2 linked regions of the Xenopus tropicalis genome follow. The protein of the gene in region 2 purifies or fractionates together with the protein of the main gene of each other region. This does not show direct contact. Links are inferred from orthologs where the notes say so. Each region holds a gene or a part of one and is shown on either strand. Other genes may lie near its edges.

Region 1 (3,657 bases), on a different chromosome or scaffold from region 2:
AATGTTAGCTAAAAAAAATCAGGGAAATGCATTAAATATAGATGGTGCCACAAAAATTCTGTAAAATTAGGGAAAACGTAAATCAGGGTATGTAAAATTGAGGTTTCGCTGTATGGCATGTTGTTTATTGTGTCTAAATACAAGAGGTTGTACATGCTTCTAATGTAGCCTTAAACATGTTTGTGTTTCTTCATACAGGTATGGGATAAAACCCTTTATCCATAAAGCTCCAAATTATGGAAAGGCAGAGACCCCATTTTAATCAAATTTTTAAAAATGATTTCCTTTTTCTCTGTAATATTTAAACAGTACCTTGTACTTGATGGCAGCTAAGATATAATGAATCCCTATTGGAGGCAAAACAATACTACTGGGTTTATTTAATGTTTAAATTATTTTTTTAATAGACTTAAGGTATTGAGATTCAAATTATGGAAAAAAAAACCCTTATCTGGGGAGCCCCAGGTCCCACGCATTCTGGATAATAGATCCCATACCTGTAATGGTATTTAACCTGTTCCATTTGTGTACCTGTTATTTAAAGGAGAAAGAAAAGCTAAGTCACTGGGGGGTGCCAGAATGTTCGGCATTCAAATTCTGAGAGTTGCAGAAGTTAATTTAAAAAAACAAAAAAGAAAAACTATTGGGAATTGTCTTAGAATGCAGATGTATACATAACACCAAGTAAATTGTTCTGTGAGCTACCCCTCAATCTGGCAATAGACTTTATACTGCCTTGTCTGTTACAAATTGCAGACATGTCTTACCCCATGACCTACAAATATCAGTAGCACTAACTGTTGGCTTTTGACAGAATATTGAGGGTTGTGTTTATACAATATATGTTGGGCACCCCCAATCAATCTGATTGTGGGGAAAATAGAGGGACATACTGTGCCACAGTTCTACTTTCCCAGGCTTTTCTAGCAAGGTCTTAAGCTGGCCATACACACACAAATATAGTTTTGTACAATTTTTAGACCATGTGTGGGCTCTGAATTATTGTCTTCATAATTTTAATACCATGGTGTTCGGTAGTTTTATCGATTGAACAGGTTAGAAAATTTTGGCAGGATAAAGATAAAATCTGTGCATGTATTGTGTATCTGATGATATCCTTGGGGAACCTAAAATGCATCAGATGATTGCTGTCTGCCTATTATTTTATGTTCAGAACATCCTCCGCTTTGTTATATTTAGATTGTTGCATTTTTACATATGATCGATATCCTGACGTTCATTAATGAAGACTAAAATCTGAGCATGTATGGGCAGCTTTAGACTCACAAATGCATTTTTGTTGTTTGTTTGTGCATATTTTTATTGTTGCTTATTAAGGCAAATATAGAATAAAGATTATGTCAATACAGGTATGGGATCCCTTATCTGGAAACCCATTATCCAGAAAGTTCCGAATTACAGAGAGGCCAACTCCCATAGACTCCATTATAAGCAAATAATTCACATTTTTGAAAATGATTTCTTTTTTCTCTGTAATAATAAAACAGTACCTTGTACTTGATCCCAACTAAGATGTAATAAATCTTTTTTGGGGGCAAAACAATCCTATTGGGTTTATTCTCTATTTAAATTATTTTTTAGTATTTTTTAGTAGACTTAAGGTATGGAGATCCAAATTACGGAAAGATCCCTTATCCAGAAAACCCCAGGTCCCAAGCATGGATAACAGGTGTCCCATACCTGTACTAAAAAGAGGATTGCAGCATTGGAAAAAATATTTTACATTTGTATATTTTGAGTTTTAACAATACAGAAAGATACAGAACTCAGAAACCGTGTGATATTAGCATATATAATAAATTGGCTTAGTTACAGCAACCAGAATATTATTTATTTTCTGGGTGCTTCTTTAATAAGAAAGGAAGGTAAGGCAAGAACAAATGCATTTTTATTAATAGGAGCACCAGCCTGGGGAAACAAAATTTAGTCTGACATTTTTGCACCCCCAGTAAATCAGGGCTTCATTGGCCTTAAAGGAACAGTAACACCAAAAAATGAAAGTGTATAAAAGTAACTAAAATATAATGTGCTGCTGCCCTGCACTGGTAAAAGTTGTGTGTTTACTTCAGAAAGTCTACTATAATTTATATAAATAAGCTGCTATGTAGCCATGGGGGCAGCCATTCAAAGGAGAAAAGGCACAGGCACATTGCAGATAACAGATAAAACACTATTGTATTCTACAGAACTTATCTGTTATCTGCTATGTAACTTGTGCCTTTTCTCCTTTTTTCCAGCTTGAATGGCTGCCCCCATGGCTACACAGCAGCTTATTATATAAATTATAGTAGTGTTACTGTAGCAAACACACCAGTTTTACCAGTGCAGGGCAACAGTGCATTATATTTTTATTACTTTAAAGCTCTTTAATTTTTTGGTGTTACTGTTCCTTTAAACAAATCTGCTATTTTTATTTTTGCTGAATTGTCTGTTTGAAAAGTCAGTAATTGCACTGCATTTGATGCAGACTATTATCTACTAAAAACTTTAAGCCCTCATTTTGAGGTGATAATTGCATTATTGGGATCAACTGATAATTGAATTATTTGCTTAGGAGTCTATGGGAGATGGTCTTCCCGTAATTTGGAACTATCTGGAAAACAGGTTTCCGGACAATGGATCCCATACCTGTACTACAGTATATGTTTAAGCTGTGTACTGTAAGATTTAGTATTTATCATGCATAAAACAAATTATAATTAAAAGCTCATTCTGAATTCTGAGAATACCAGTTATATTAGTCGGTCTAGTATAACTCATGTCTTTCTTTTTTTACCAGGCTCACTTCTTTTGGAATCAAAAATTAATACTAACACAGCTTACCAGAAACAGCAGGTAAGTCTTTCTGTAACAAAGTATTTCCTAAGAAGTTATGTAATGTATAGGTCTCTGTTTAATACCTGTGCTATACTTTTTTGAAATAATTAATAAAAATTGTAGTGTTCTAACATTTATTTGAAATGAGCAATATAGAATATTGTCCATAAATATTAAGTTTTCTTTTTTTTTTTATATATTTATTACTCTTGACTTTTTCTGTAATTTGGTAAATACCCCTTAAAAATGATAAAATCCTACGAGTGCTGTTATTTTCCACGTTAACTAGAATTATCTGTTTACTTTCAGGACACTTTAATAGTATGGTCAGAAGCAGAAAATTATGACCTGGCTCTTAGTTTTCAGGAAAAGGCTGGGTGTGATGAAATTTGGGAGAAAATATGCCAGGTGAGTTTTCTTTTTGTTATACCTCTGTATAAAATATTTGCCGTGCCTGGTAAGGGTTCATTTATTGCCTTCATGTCAGACCATGCCTTGTTCTTGACTGAACCGGTGACAGACTGTCTCAAGCTAACAATATTTACAGCATAATAAATCTTAATTTTAAGGTCAACATTAAGCTGAATATACCTTGTACACAGTTCTGTGTGCCTGTAAACTCTGAACTGTGAGTGCGACATTTTCAAAGGAGAACCATGTACACAACATATTTAGCTCTTTGATCTATAGATCAGTAAGATGCCATTTATGTTTAATATAAAACATAACAGCATAATATATGGTAATTTGGGACTCAAATACATTTTTGTGCAGATATGCCAGTATTGGTTAAGCAAATTGTGTATATTTCCTGATTTT
Region 2 (3,757 bases):
GTATAAGGGACAGCTGAATGCCTTGTTCAAGGAAATCCAAAAGTGAAGCTATACAGGGGACATACTATTATAAGTTATTTGAATCACTTTTTTTTTTTTTTGAAATGGATGGTCTTAACACTCTTTTGGAGAAGCAATACAGGAGGTTTGCACATTTTAATATGTCCCAGATTTCTGCTTGCTGCATCAACATTAAATTGTTTTTTTTTAAATATTTATAATTTTATAATAAATTAATCAGACTGATCGTTTCTCTCATTCTTTATGTAATGGAGACATCAGATGAATGGGACTCTGCATGTTAGGGAAGGCCTGTATGAGAAATGCAGTGCACAGGGGCTGGAATAGCCAAGCCAGAGCAAACCATCACCAAGCTGTCGGACTGTATAGCAAGAGATGACAAAACTCCCCTCTGCAAGCAGCCAAGCCTGAGCCAGAATCCCCGAGCTGCACTTCATCCCGTCAGCATTGTAGGAAAATCAATAATCAGCATTTAACAGTTGCGTTTTAGTCAATATACAGCACTTAAATTGGCTTCAAGCAGAGGGAGCTGCCGATAAGCCAACTGATCCACTTGTTGTGGGACTGCCTCTGACATTACGACACTCGTTAGGAGTTAATTATCATGTTAACACTAGTCTGTACTTATCAAACTGTCTATAAGATCAAGGTTTGCACTAAATATTATGGGCAAAAAGGAGGGCAGAGGAGCACAGTTGGCTAATTCCACCTTCCATACGTTCATTGAGCCTGTGTATTTGTAGAATTTTAAAAGGAAAGCACGCAGAGCCAAAAATTCAAGACATTATTGTTAAAAAATAACATTGTTCCACTTTACAATAAGGAAAATACTTAAACCCCTCTCCCACCCGCATTGTCCATTACACTCGAAGAACAAATGACATCTCGTCCCATGCAGATTTATCATATCCATGCCAGGAGGAAAAATGACATGAGGTTTCAAAGGCCAAACCGTGCAGGTGTGCGGCGGGGTGTCCCAGGTTCTACTTGATCTTTCCTTCCTGGCGTGTAAATTTTCAAAGACCTGGTGAAACATAGCATTAAAAAATCAATAAGTAGTCGCTGCTGCCTAACCATGGAACCAGTTAAGCTGCCTACACTGGATACTTTTCATCGTAGTATCTGTGCAATCAGCTCATGGCCCACTTACTCAGATATAGAGCTACCGTGTTTTCCCGAAAATAAGGCATCCTCCAAAAGTAAGGCACCCCCCCCCCCCTTTTCATCCCCCCCCGGAAAGTAAGTCACCCCCCGAAAATAAGACACCCACCTGGAAGCCGTCTAGCGATGCGACTTCCTGTTTCCCCTGTGCGCTGCCTGCGTGGTCTCTCTGGCGCCGTTATAACACATTGAGTGGTGACGGCGCGAGAGAGACCACGCAGGCAGCGCACAGGGGAAACAGGAAGTCGCATCGCTTAGACGGCTTCCATGGTGACGGCGCGAGAGAGACCAAGGTACCGGTAAGAACGAGAATGTTACACAGGAGGATCAGAGGACACAGAAATAACAGAGGGGGCAATAAAAAAAAGGCACATGAGGATCAAAGGGGGCAATAAAAAAAAAGGCACATGAGGATCAAAAAATAAGACATCCCCTGAAAATAAGACCTAGTGCATATTTTGGAGCTTAAAAAAATATAAGACAGTGTCTTATTTTCGGGAAAACACGGTATTTTATCCTCATATAAATGACTCACCTTTGTACAACACTCACAAATCTAACAGTTCACATTAATAGAACAATCTATGCCCTATCCATAGTTAACAAAAATGTGCAGCTGAAGAGCTATTCACCTCAGAATCATCCCTCCGCTGGGTGGGGGCAGTGACTCCCATAAACACTACAGTTGCTTTTTTTTACTTCCTTATATGATGTCACACGATACTGGCAGCAGACTTAACTCCTATTGGCTGTGTCTCCTGTCAATCTGACACTGCTTCCTGTGCTTGTGACAGAGTGCTGCAAATCTAACAGAACTGTGCTGAGTCTATTTGCCTATGCCACTGCAAGGGAGAAATTAACCAACTGGTTAGGAGTGCACAAGCCACCAAATAAATGGTCCAATAGGAAAACCTGGATGTGATGATGTAAGCATATAGGAAGTTCTCAGTGTGTCAGGTTCAAAATTGGCCACTCCCATCCCTTCAGAAAACTGATCAGAGAGACAGAAGGACTGATTTAACTGGTAGAAAAAATAGCTTTTACAGTGTCCTTTTGATTTTTTTTATGGAAAATTGATTTTCTGACACTTTGAGGGCATTGTTGGTGATTTAATAAGATTTGAACATTGAAGGTGAACAGCCTTTTTAAATTAGATTATCATGCACAAGGGCAAGAATTCTGTGTTGACCTATAAATTGTATCATTCTCATACCAGGGTTTGACCCAATGAAGTACCAATTTGGGGGCCCAATGCATAAAATTTACTATCCATCACGTATTGGTCATGCGGAAAGTAGGAGTGGAAATCCTCCCTCACAGCTCACCTTGCACTGCTAAGAATGTTCTTTTTCTCCTGCTCCTCTCTCCTGGCACGAAGCTGCTCCTCTGCCAACATCATTTCTTCCTCCATGGCAGATACTTCCTCCTTTGCACGGCGCCTGTTTTCCTAAAAGTTTTTTTTTATAAATTGTGAATCAAACTTCAGTTTATATATATATTAAAAAAAACAAATCTAAAATCACAGTAACACTTACCTGTCTTGTTTTCCCTGCATGCTTAATACTATAAAACATTGGACCCAGCTCTGCCAGCCATTCCCCATCCACAGCTGTGACACATTGCATGTATTCCTAGAAGGGTCACCAGGAAAGAAAATATTAGGACATTTCTGCATGGTCAGTTTTTTGGTGCTTGAAAGCAATGTCTGCTGGAAGAATGTGATTTGCTATAAAATACTAATGTTAGTTGGAGTATTACTAATAAGCATATTAATACATACCGTATATACTCGAGTATAAGCAGAGTTTTTCAGCACCAAAAATGTGCTGAAAAAGTTGCCCTCGGCTTATACTCGTGTATATACGGTTTTTGAAGATCGCATTAATTGCACAACCAAACCCCGCCACCCCGCCCAGCTGATTCTAGGTCTATGTTCAGCCTGTCAGGCCAGTTGCTGGCAAACACACCAGATTTCACCGCAGAAAAACGTTATTATGTATTGTCTATGAAGATTTTCATTGTATTTCTCTGCTGAAATGTGCAGGGTGTGCCGGCACCTGGGTGCAGGCAAGGAAGAAGACCAATGCCAGTGTAAGGGGCTGAACCGAGAATCAGTCCCATGTGGCATTAGCCTAAAGTAGCACAGTGGACTGTGTCTTGCATATACACCAAACACTCAAAAAACTCAGGCGTAAAAGAATAATGAAAAAATGTAGGGTTATCTATATAACCTTGGACATGGATTGCATGAGAAAGTGTCCAACATTACATTATTTAAATGGCCAGCTTGATAATGACAACACATAGTAATCTTTATGAGCCCTTTAGTCTAAAAGGTCTTTTACAGAAACATTATCACTTATAAGTCTGTTAGCAAATCCTTTATGTTTGCTGCATTTCTTTTGAATTGAATTCCTGAGCAGCCATATTGCCCTTTGATTCTGGATGCTGCTCTCTAGTGGCTAGTAAAGAGAAGAACACATATTCTTCTGAAACAATAGCAAAATGTATTTCTCGCCATTTCTTACCTTAGTGGTCATCACCAGCTCGTGGTAAACAATGTAATCTGGGGTAT

What was found. The genes of interacting proteins can lie anywhere in the genome.
Region 1: the proteins of dhx38 (region 2) and ppp4r3a purify together in Homo sapiens (co-immunoprecipitation; 3 studies listed by BioGRID and IntAct, with this or other methods). This does not show direct contact. The link is inferred for Xenopus tropicalis from reciprocal best matches to the Homo sapiens genes DHX38 and PPP4R3A.

What each region holds. Positions count from the first base shown.
Region 1 is NC_030684.2:87,125,427-87,129,083, reverse strand, and holds part of ppp4r3a (serine/threonine-protein phosphatase 4 regulatory subunit 3A), read left to right. Parts: intron 1-2,800; coding exon 2,801-2,856; intron 2,857-3,147; coding exon 3,148-3,246; intron 3,247-3,657. UniProt on the Homo sapiens protein: Regulatory subunit of serine/threonine-protein phosphatase 4. May regulate the activity of PPP4C at centrosomal microtubule organizing centers.
Region 2 is NC_030680.2:60,112,668-60,116,424, reverse strand, and holds the end of dhx38 (pre-mRNA-splicing factor ATP-dependent RNA helicase PRP16), read right to left. Parts: coding exon 3,711-3,757; intron 2,814-3,710; coding exon 2,718-2,813; intron 2,630-2,717; coding exon 2,508-2,629; intron 1,046-2,507; coding exon 961-1,045; 3' UTR 88-960; downstream 1-87. UniProt on the Homo sapiens protein: Probable ATP-binding RNA helicase. Involved in pre-mRNA splicing as component of the spliceosome.